Linked DNA regions of Arabidopsis thaliana. The protein of the gene in region 1 interacts with the protein of each later gene in a pairwise test. Each region holds a gene or a part of one and is shown in the gene's direction. Other genes may lie near its edges. The genes, in order: ARF9 and IAA18.

Region 1 (6,984 bases):
GATTGACTATTGGGTTAAAAATAGATGAACAATTGAGATTCTTAGAATTAGTACCACTAAATTGACTAAAAATCAGTAAATGATTGAACTCATTTGAGACCAAACATGTGGGAGATATATATGGGAATGAATGCTTTCTAAGTGGACACGAAAATTCTATATTACAGTTGAGATTCGTTTGAACAAGCTCTGGGGAATATACGGGGGACAAGATACCAATTTATTACTAAAATAAATACGATTAAAATAGTCTAAATTGAGAAAGAGAAGATCCGGAGATGGTGGTGGTGGGTTTTAAGGCATCTTGCTTATTTATATCCTTAAAGGGAACAGAAATTGTCAAAAATACGTCATACGTGACGTTTTCTGTCATAATTAGTAATATACTAAACATAATTAATTAGAACTAAACGATAAAGTAATTAGTTAATTGGTATATAAATATATGGACTATGGAGTATAGGCTTTTTCATCTTTATATTTTGCTTATTATTTATTAAAAAGTTTGGCATTATTCATTGCCAAATGACTACAGCAAATATACGATTTTGATGCAGAAATTTAAATTTATTGATCATCTAAAGATCGCACTTAGTTTACTATACGAAAATCCATGCACTACACTACTAGTGATGGTACAAATGTTTAGGAAATAAAATTATTATGTTAAATTTTGTATTGAAATAAATATTTGGGAGTTATAATCTTATCATATAAAAAAACTAAAATAAATAACTAACCCAACATATATGTATATCTACATTATAAGGATTTGAATTTATATGGTAAACATAACTATACTAACAAAAATTATTATATTACATATCTTGGTTAAATTAGTAAAATAGATTTATTTAGTGTTTTTCGTTTGTCGCTTGTCATACTTTTTGAGTTCCTTCAATTTGAGTATCATAAGATTTTTAGGAAACTTAATCTTGATGTTATAAGTGATATTAATCGCTTATTTATAACATCTACTTATTTATCCATCATCGATCATTTTTTAACGGTTCAAAAGATTTCACGTATATTAATGTTCAAAATTCTAAAAAAAAAACATTTAATCAAAACATTTTTTTCTAAGTATTTAAGTAATTTTTCCGGATAATATTTGTTTGGCAACGATCAACATATATCATGACTCAAATAAATTTTGATGTTTCTAATTAGTAAAATGTGGAGTTGGAAAAAAGTTCTTGCAAAAGGTGAAAAGAACAAAAATCAGAGATGGAAACACTTCCCACATGCTTATGTTAGTCCCACCATTTAGTGGTAGAAATGTAATTTATCCAAAGAAGGAGGTCAAAGCTGCTTCGTCTCTAATCCAAGTCTAGCCAGTATTGTTGCCTGCATAAGAGCAAACGGTAAAAGTGACGGACTCTTAACGATGACGGGTGTTACTGTTTAATGTCTCTTGATCGACTTTTGTTACCGTAACGACAACGGCACGCGCCCTCACGCTCCGTACCAGCCTTAAAAGCCAACACATTTATGATTTATCCAGTAACTAATACTAATTCCTTCATCCACTAACGCAATTGCATTTAATTGTTTAGTACGTATAGAAAAAAAGTAAAAAGCTATTTATAATTATAACTTACAAAGTCTCTTTCAATTAGTACAGTGTAAAACAACCAATTATTTTCTATATTATACAGTATAAAGGTGTTTATCATAGACCCATTATTTATTTGTTTTTGACTAAAATATCAAAGTGTATTAAAACATAAACCAAATAAATTTGAAATTAAAGTTTTTTTTTTTTTTGTAAAATTAAAACTGATTTTTGGTTTAAATAGAGAAGCAAAGCTACGCTTTTTTTTTTGCTAGCTCTTTTTTTATTTAATCAAACAAAAATTGAGGAAAACAATTATTGTTGTGCTAAGCATTTCTATCATATATTTTTTTATAAACAATACATTTAATTTCAAAATAACTTTCTACTTTCTTCAAATCAAGCTATTTCCTAGAAATTTGGTACTGTCTGGATAACAACATGTCTTAGAAAGTATAGTAAGGAATTTACAATTGGTTATACAATTAATGTATAGCGTATTATTATATACGAAAAGGTGTCCAATTTTAGACATACATATAAAATCAATTTATTAAAAATAAAAGTATTGAAAAAAGAGAGAGTGAAACGGAGATAAAAGCAAACGGAGGTGTTAACTTAAAGACGGGAGAGAAGCGAGTGAGAGATTCTTTCTTGTAACGGCGTTGTTTGACGATTATAGTGACGAAGAGAGACAAAAAAAAAGAGTTTAGTCTTCTTTGTTTGGGAGACGAAGACGATAGAAGCTGGTTTTACGGGAGAGAAATTAGAGAGGTTACAGTTACAGAGCAGGAAGGATTGCGTTGCGTTACGATTCAGATCTCTCTCGATCGTTACTTACATGCATTAGAGAACAAGAAAACGTGGAGACGGAATCCAAGGGACCTTCTTCTTCAATTTAATTCCTCACTTTATTACGCACCCTTCTTTTATTTTCGACTGTTTCAGCTTCCGGTTCTTCATCGGAGAGAGATAGAGAGACTGTGTGTTTTGGTGTGACTGATAGAAGATTTAATCAGCTGATGGCAAATCGCGGAGGTGAGAAATTGACCGGAGTTTTGTTTTTTTCTTCAATTTTCCGGCGACATTACCGGCGAAATTAACCGGTGTACATTGTGTGGTGAAACAGGTGAATATCTGTACGATGAGTTATGGAAATTATGCGCGGGACCTCTTGTTGATGTTCCTCAAGCTCAAGAAAGAGTTTATTATTTTCCTCAAGGTCACATGGAACAAGTAAGCAGCTTCTCTTTTAGATCGGTGAAATTTTGAGAAAGATTTTTTTTAATGAAACATTTCTATTTTTGGTGGTTCAGCTCGAAGCGTCAACGCAACAAGTCGACTTAAATACGATGAAGCCTCTTTTTGTTCTTCCTCCTAAGATTCTCTGCAATGTTATGAACGTTAGTCTTCAGGTATACTTTCCACATTTAGCAAAACCGAATTTATCTGATGATGTGTCGTCCATTAGTTAAAGCAATATATATAGATGGATATTGTAGAAAATCTATGAAGAAGCTGGAAATGATTAGACTAAATATGAGTGGAAGTTCTGGATCTTGTTTGATTTCTTCATTTCTGTTCTTGTCAGGCGGAGAAAGATACGGATGAGGTCTATGCTCAGATTACTTTGATCCCTGTTGGAACTGTGAGTGACACAATTAGATCACTTGATTGTTTTTGTTGTTGCAACTTCCTTAAATTCAATGTTTAGTGGATCTCTAAATGTAAACTGTAGGAAGTTGATGAACCTATGAGTCCTGATCCCTCTCCTCCTGAGTTGCAAAGGCCGAAAGTTCACTCTTTCAGCAAGGTTTTGACAGCGTCTGATACAAGCACCCATGGTGGCTTTTCTGTTCTAAGGAAACATGCCACGGAATGTCTTCCTCCGCTGGTATTAGGACACGCTTACTATTTGTGCTTTGTTTCCCACCAAAATGGCCTTTGATATGAATTTCTTATGTTCTTATCCTTTAGGATATGACTCAGCAAACCCCGACCCAGGAGTTAGTAGCCGAAGATGTGCACGGTTATCAGTGGAAATTCAAGCATATTTTTAGAGGTGGTGAATCCATTTCTTGTTAACTCAGATCAAACTTTATGTATCCATGATAATTGTATAAAATGAATGATAATTCATTAAACAGGCCAACCACGGAGGCATCTATTGACGACAGGGTGGAGCACCTTTGTTACATCAAAGAGATTGGTTGCTGGGGACACCTTTGTATTCCTGAGGTATTATACTTCACGCTGCTACCTTGTTTTGTTTCTTTTGATGGTCCATTGGTAGATTTTGAACTTCCAAGCTATATTATATTTTCCAGAGGGGAGAACGGAGAGTTGCGAGTTGGAGTCAGACGTGCTAATCTTCAACAGAGCAGTATGCCTTCATCCGTTATATCAAGTCATAGTATGCATCTGGGAGTGCTTGCTACTGCACGCCATGCTACTCAAACGAAAACTATGTTCATTGTATACTATAAACCAAGGTAGACAGTTATTACTCTATGGGAATATCTGAGGTGAGTTTTTTCGACATTCTGCTTATCGAATTACTCTCGGTTTGAGCAGGACAAGCCAATTCATCATTAGCTTGAACAAATATCTAGAAGCCATGAGCAATAAGTTCTCTGTAGGGATGAGATTTAAGATGCGTTTTGAGGGAGAGGATTCCCCTGAAAGAAGGTAGTCTGAATTTTTTCTTTGTTATGTATCCTGCACTTTGTCCCCAAAGCTATTCTCACACATCTATTTCTTTACAAAGATATTCTGGCACGGTTATTGGTGTGAAAGACTGCTCCCCTCACTGGAAAGACTCAAAATGGCGATGCTTAGAAGTAAAATTCCTTCCACTTTTACATGTTTTTTAAAGTGTTTATTAAGTGTGAAAACTCAATCAGTTTGCTACATGTTTGTGTAGGTTCATTGGGATGAGCCTGCATCGATTTCAAGACCCAATAAGGTTTCACCATGGGAAATTGAACCGTTTGTAAATTCAGAAAACGTTCCCAAATCAGTTATGCTGAAGAACAAAAGGCCCCGTCAAGTTAGTGAAGTATCTGCACTTGGTGAGGCACAATCTAACCGCCACTGATTTGCTAGTACATAGCTTAAGTTTCCTTGCTAAATCTCACATGCTGTGTTTAGATGTAGGCATAACAGCTTCAAACCTTTGGAGCTCTGTTTTGACGCAACCCCATGAGTTTGCACAATCGTGCATCACCTCACAGTGGAGTTCTCCTCAGCAATGTCATCGTGATGCAAATGAGGATGCTAAGAAATCTGACTGGCTAAATAACTCTTACTCTGTGTCAAATGTAGCAAAAGACTCAACACTGAACGACCAAATGGTTTCCCCAGTCGAGCAGAAGAAGCCTGAGACAACCGCTAATTATAGATTATTTGGAATTGATCTGATGAGTTCCTCCCTAGCGGTTCCTGAGGAGAAAACTGCACCCATGCGACCAATCAACATATCCAAACCGACTATGGACAGCCACTCAGACCCAAAATCAGAGATTTCAAAAGTATCAGAAGAGAAAAAGCAGGAACCTGCGGAGGGATCACCAAAAGAGGTCCAAAGCAAGCAAAGCAGTTCTACAAGAAGCCGTACCAAGGTATATATATGCCTACATGGCTACCGTGAAGTGTATATACATTGTGTAATCTGTGAGTTGCAAAACAGATACACATTATGTATAATGTTTGCGGGACTGAACAGGATCCTGAATTCTTTATCGCTGAACAGGTGCAGATGCAAGGCGTACCTGTGGGCAGGGCTGTGGATTTAAATGCGCTAAAGGGGTACAACGAGCTCATAGATGACATTGAGAAGCTGTTTGACATAAAAGGGGAACTGCGGAGTCGCAATCAATGGGAAATAGTGTTCACAGACGATGAGGGAGATATGATGCTTGTCGGTGATGACCCATGGCCGTAAGTAACTTACTCTTTATCTCTTAGTCAATAGAATCACTACACAAAACTCATATCTGTTGACTTAATTTGGTGGTGCAGTGAGTTCTGCAACATGGTGAAGAGAATATTCATATGGTCGAAAGAGGAAGTGAAGAAAATGACGCCTGGGAACCAACTCCGGATGCTGTTAAGGGAAGTTGAAACAACACTAACAACAACTTCCAAAACAGATAATCATTCCAACTAATTTTTATTCTATTCTCTATCAGTCTTCGTCTCCTTCTTATTTGCTTTGTCTTTCGGAATTATCTTGTTTGTGTCTGTGTTTTGTTGCGCATGGCTTAAACAAGAAACTACATCCCCTGAGGCAAAAAAAATGGCTCGTTTTTTTGGAGCCTCTTATGGAGAAAGGGGGTTTATGGGGAGAGGGTTTTCTACTTTTAAAATAGGCTTTTGGAAGTTTCTTTTTCTTCTAGGAACTTGTGTGTAAGAGAAACAAATATGTAACGAACAGAAAGAAAAAAAAAAAAAAAAAAAAAAAAAGAGAATGAGATTTGTGAATAACTTGATGAAGGACTTTTGGGACTCTGGGATTATAAGAGATTAAAGAGGGATTATACCTCATGGCTCTCGTGTTTTCTGATTCTTTTTCGTAGTTGTGTTTTCTTTGATTTTGTTTTTCATCTAAGTTTTAATGTATATATAAAATTTCAAACATGGCTTTCTTGTATTTGTCAAATCCCCAAAGGTACATATATTATCAATATTTAAAATGTTAAATAAACAAAACTCTAGACCTAAAACTATTTCAGGTTTTCCCACTAACCTTAACAATGATTCAAGATTATTGATGTTTTGTCTGTGAGGACATGTATGTGGCCGCTCTTGCCACCATATTCACAAACGTAATTGTATGAAGTATGGACCACCTTTTCGCTACTACTTCTGGATCCCCTTATGTTTGTAAAGTGTATCATTCCCTTATATCACTATTCACTCACATGCATTAAAATATCGAATGCTGCAAAGGAAAAAAGAGTTATTTTTCTCTTTAGATATCATTTGGGTTATGCATATTACTTGGATTAGTCCAATATGTCGTGTACAACCATTCTCGCTGCAAAACAACTACAATATGTCAACATAGTATAACACATGCTGATCTGGTGAGATTATAAATTGTGAAGTTTGTCTTTATAATATGTACATATAGTATTTCTTTGATTATGACAAGTGTGTAGAAAATGTTAGGATATTATTCTAAATCCCACATACGAAAGATTAGATAATGATTATCCAACATATAAGTTCAATCTAATTTTAATTAGTGTATCATTTGGGGAAAAAAAATCGTGCATATCTGGTTGCTTGGTCCAAATATCTATATTTTCTGACGGTCCAATATTTATATACGTACCACATAAATACACCTATACGAATCTCTTTACTAATACGTCGATACCGTTCATAGTTAATGACGTTATTTACTGCCGAGATAATGAAGTGAT
Region 2 (4,943 bases), on another chromosome or scaffold:
AGACAAGATTTGACCTCTGATAATCTTGTTTGAAAATTCCCATATTACCCTTCCTTCCTTGACCAAAACTCTTACCCGACTCTTGGTTGGTTCGGCTTTTCCGTCATATCGGTCTCACACGTGGAAGAACCATGTCCGATGGTTCATTATTTTCAAAAGCTTACTCTTTTTTTTTTGGTGTGGCAAAAGCTTACTCTTTTAAATAAGATTGAGTTTTTTTTTTTGGTAACATACGCTTCTTGTGATTAAGTTCATTTAAAGCAACACAATAATTCTTGTGTTTTTTATTTGCATGTAAAGGTAGACACAAAACTCGAATCTAAAATCAATAATTTTATTTGTTTAGTGACTGATTTGAAAAAAACGCAGAATAAACTAACCTGATTAAAAAAAAAGAGAGTTTATATTGGAGCTTACTGAATTCTATCGATCTAAAGTATAAGATGACAAAAAATTCCTCGTATCATTTGGGTTTAAATATATGATGGGATGGTAAATGGTAATTAAAGCCAATAGTAATAATTTATAAAATAATAACGACAAAACGAAATAAAGGAAGAAAATTTGCAAGAATAACTAACAAAAACTTATAAATTAAGAAAGTAACACAAAACAAAAAAACAGATATACTCTCTATATTATATATAATAATGGTATATTTACCCATTTTTCTCCACCTCATTCTAAGTCCCTCCTTCTCTCTTCACCTCTCATCTCTTTTTCTTTCTTCTCTCAATCTTTTTTTTTTTTCTTTTTTTGTATCACATAACAAACAAACGAGAAGGACAAAATAGATTTTTCAGATACCACTTATGTTATCTGGTTGCTTGAGTTGCCAAGGTTGTATCTTAGGGTATAGTTTTTCTATACATCCAAAATAGTATAGTACAACATTTTATTTCTATCCAAAATAGTACATGTTTTTACTTACAAACACTATTTACTATTTTATAAATTCAAATCCGATTTTAAAAATTCAAACTATTTTGTATGTAGAAAAAATATAGGTTTTTTCTAATAAATTTTATAATTGGAATTTATTTTTTGGAAAAGATATATAACAAAAAAAAAACAAATAGGTGAAAAACTAAACTAAATGTTACTAAATCATTTTACCTCCAATTCAACACTAAAATTGTCTTTTCCTTATCCTTACATGCTATTTTCTTAATTTTTATATATATGGTACTATATTTTTAATTTGTTTGTCAAATATGGTTATTCAGCTAAATCACCCAATAGAGACTCAATAGAGACTGAGAGAGAGAAAAAGAAGGGTTTCTCGTAAAATCTCCAAATTCATTTGAACTTTCCCAAACATTGGAATATGTGTAAGTCCCATAGGAGTAGGACAGAGTCGATAGGGGTGTGATCCTAACATACCAGAGAAAGATCGTCGAATCCTCCATTTCTTTTTATGGCAACCATATTTTAATTATATACTACTATTTATTAATTTAATTGGGTGTGATTTTTACTTCGCGTAATATAAATATGCTTTTTCTACATTTTCCCAATAATTTTGTAAAAGTGTAAAGTCTCTACAAAAACATTGTTTAGTCCTCCTTTTTTGGTCTAAATATTTGTTTAGTCCTATATCCATATTTTGTGACACTACTAGTATTATAAAAACATAACAAATTCTCAAGTTACACTTCTCGTTTTGTTTGGGTCAACCACACAACACCACAAGTTTTACTTGTACAAAGTAATTGTTTGTTTATGTTTTTCTGTTGTATGTATTTTTTTTAATTGGTCAAAAGAAAATATGTTTTAAATAAAAAGGTGAAAAAAGGCCTATGGGATTGGAATAATAAGATAGAAAACAAAATAGCATGCTTTGCTTCCTCCACTAAACTTCCTTTAAGGGCAGAGAGAGAGATAAAAAGATTGATTGCGTGTGTTTCACACCAATAAATCCCTTTATTTTTATTTTTTGGTCTCCAAATTTACTAACTTCTAATAATTTCCAATTTTACCCCTTATTTTTCTTCCTTTGGTTTTAACCTATTCACTGCATTTCCTTGGTATAAAATCCAACTTCTTCTCCTTCAAGAATCTAGAGATAGAGAGAGAGAGAGAACACAAAGTGGGAAAAAAGATAAGAACCCACCATAAAGTTTTAACATTTTTCCCTTCAAAAGGCGAAAGCTTTTGATTTGTATAAAAGTCCCACTTAATCACCTCTCTAGCTTCTCATTCCATTTCCATCTCCTCTCTTTTGTTTTCTAAGTTGCTTCAAGAGTTTTGGATAGTGTAGCAGAGAGATTTTAACTAATGGGTTTATAAAATTTTGTTCTTTTGCGTGAACAAGTTGTCAACTTCTAGACAGATTTTCTTTTTGAAGTGTTTTCTTGTCGAAATTCTTCTTCTTTTGGTCAAAGAACGCAAGATTCTTCTGTAGTTCCTCTAAAAAAAATCCTAATGGAGGGTTATTCAAGAAACGGTGAAATCTCTCCGAAGCTGCTTGACTTGATGATTCCACAAGAGAGAAGAAATTGGTTTCACGATGAGAAAAACTCTGTTTTCAAAACAGAGGAGAAGAAGCTTGAGCTAAAGCTTGGACCACCTGGTGAAGAAGATGATGATGAATCGATGATAAGACACATGAAGAAAGAACCAAAAGACAAATCTATCCTCTCTCTCGCTGGCAAATACTTCTCTCCTTCTTCCACCAAAACCACATCCCATAAAAGGTTTTAAACTTCTCATCTCTTACTTTTTGTTTTTCTCTGTTTTGTATCCTTCTCACATGATGATATTCACTTGTTATTAGCCAATAAGGTCCCATCTATCTGCATAAACTTTGTTCTTGTCTGCTTAAGATTGGATCTCAAAACTTTTCATCTTTTTACCCTTTTCCCATCTGAAAGTTTCAGTCTTTTTACTGCCCTAGTTTTCCTCTGTTTTTAACCTTGAGATTGTTCTTGTCTTACTAACAAGTTTTGTTTTGATGCCTTTGTGTTTTAAAGAACTGCTCCTGGTCCAGTGGTGGGATGGCCTCCGGTTCGATCCTTCAGGAAGAATTTAGCTAGTGGAAGTTCTTCAAAGCTTGGAAATGACTCAACCACCTCCAATGGTGTTACCCTCAAGAACCAAAAGTGTGATGCTGCTGCTAAGACAACAGAACCAAAGAGACAAGGAGGCATGTTTGTGAAGATCAACATGTATGGTGTTCCCATTGGTCGTAAAGTTGATCTCAGTGCTCATAATAGCTATGAGCAGTTATCTTTCACAGTTGACAAGCTCTTCAGAGGTCTTCTTGCAGGTAAATTTGAAACCTTTGTCTCTCTATTGATTATGGTTAAAAAAGGGTTGAATTTTGAACTCTAATTGTTCTTATTTTATCAGCTCAAAGAGACTTTCCATCATCCATAGAAGATGAAAAACCAATCACTGGATTATTAGATGGGAATGGAGAATATACTCTTACATATGAAGACAATGAAGGAGACAAGATGCTTGTAGGAGATGTTCCATGGCAGTAAGAATCTTTTCTTTTCTTTTTCGTTTTTTTCTGAATCTGAGTCAGCTTTTTGTTCTATCTAAAGGAGAAGTATTAGATTCCTAGTCACATATTTATTATATCTTAATCACAGTTTGATTAATAACAAACTTAGTTTGGTTAAGCTATTAAAGATTGTGGACTTTTTGATCACTAAAATTGATTATTTCTTAAATTGTCAGAATGTTTGTGTCTTCGGTGAAGAGGCTGCGTGTGATTAAAACTTCTGAGATTTCTTCAGCATTAACATGTAAGTGTAGGATTTTAATAACATTTTTTAGTTGTTTTGGTGACTCTTTTAAGTGAAGTTCTTAGAATGTTTTTTTGTTGTTTTGAAATTTGCAGATGGAAATGGTAAGCAAGAGAAAATGAGAAGATGAAGAAAAAGATCTTTTACAGCTTTTAAAGAAGTAGAGAGATGTTATTAATTGCATTTTGCCTTTAAACTTTGATGAGTTTTTGGTCTTGGAAAAGTTTCTGATATAAGTCTGATGTACATTCTGGTTTGTTACATCTTCTTTTGGCTTTTGAGATATCATAGAGTTTTGTTGGAACTCAAAGACCAAACAGTGCAATGATGATTTTGGGGTCTTGAGTAAATTTACAAACCCTTTTAGGCATATTATAATAGTCTTCTGTTTTTAAGTTTTGGTAATGATTATTCACACTTGATCAACACTTTTAAGTAATGTAACTCTCCCTATGTCAGCAAAGCATCCTTTTCGAAAAACGGAGAAAAGAAACAATCTTTTTCTCTGCCAAAAAGCTCTTTAGCTTTTATTAAATCTATACTTAGGGTATCCGCTATTGTAATGAACTATGAGAGTGAAAGGTTTTAAAACATTGAACAACTTTTCTTTAAATGAGCTGTTAGGACAGATATTCAAACCATTGTCTAACCACATCTTTCATCTTTGTCTGGACTCTTGGGCAACAAAATTACAGACATCATTAGATTATCATCTTCTGATTATTGATCTACATATTTGATAATACTTGATATGATATAGTTTCTATGTATAATCATCTCTAAATTTATGTTTCTAGTTTAGCTTTTGTGTTTCGTAGAATAGATATATAAAATAAAGGGTTGTTCATAAGCATATGTATTCATACGATCAAATCGTTTAAAAGGAAAAAAGGAAGAAAAAATTGGTGGGTATGGAATATTGATAAAGAGAGTACAAAATAGAAAAATTGAAGAGAAGTCTTTTTCGTTGAGAGTCTTGCCTAACTATTCGAAGCAGCAATATGAGACCTTATAGTTACTTTTTTCCTTTTGCCTTCGAAAATGTTCATTCTATATTCTTTTGAAGTCTACAGTGATATTGATGGCCAATTGTGTTGTCCTCTCAACATTTTAGGACCACTCTATCTAGTCCAAAAAATTAATATTCTGGTTTTAAGTTCAAGTAATAAGCGACGTTTACTCTTGTAC

Evidence for each region.
Region 2: the proteins of ARF9 (region 1) and IAA18 interact in a two-hybrid assay, tested with the Arabidopsis thaliana proteins (one study listed by BioGRID).

What each region holds. Positions count from the first base shown.
Region 1 is NC_003075.7:12,449,015-12,455,998, forward strand, and holds ARF9 (auxin response factor 9), read left to right. Parts: upstream 1-2,128; 5' UTR 2,129-2,577; coding exon 2,578-2,593; intron 2,594-2,684; coding exon 2,685-2,791; intron 2,792-2,871; coding exon 2,872-2,970; intron 2,971-3,146; coding exon 3,147-3,203; intron 3,204-3,293; coding exon 3,294-3,449; intron 3,450-3,532; coding exon 3,533-3,617; intron 3,618-3,702; coding exon 3,703-3,793; intron 3,794-3,882; coding exon 3,883-4,047; intron 4,048-4,129; coding exon 4,130-4,243; intron 4,244-4,322; coding exon 4,323-4,395; intron 4,396-4,478; coding exon 4,479-4,626; intron 4,627-4,705; coding exon 4,706-5,175; intron 5,176-5,306; coding exon 5,307-5,494; intron 5,495-5,575; coding exon 5,576-5,723; 3' UTR 5,724-6,355; downstream 6,356-6,984.
Region 2 is NC_003070.9:19,303,246-19,308,188, forward strand, and holds IAA18 (indole-3-acetic acid inducible 18), read left to right. Parts: upstream 1-1,835; 5' UTR 1,836-2,424; coding exon 2,425-2,696; intron 2,697-2,972; coding exon 2,973-3,268; intron 3,269-3,351; coding exon 3,352-3,484; intron 3,485-3,687; coding exon 3,688-3,755; intron 3,756-3,850; coding exon 3,851-3,885; 3' UTR 3,886-4,273; downstream 4,274-4,943. UniProt on the Arabidopsis thaliana protein: Aux/IAA proteins are short-lived transcriptional factors that function as repressors of early auxin response genes at low auxin concentrations.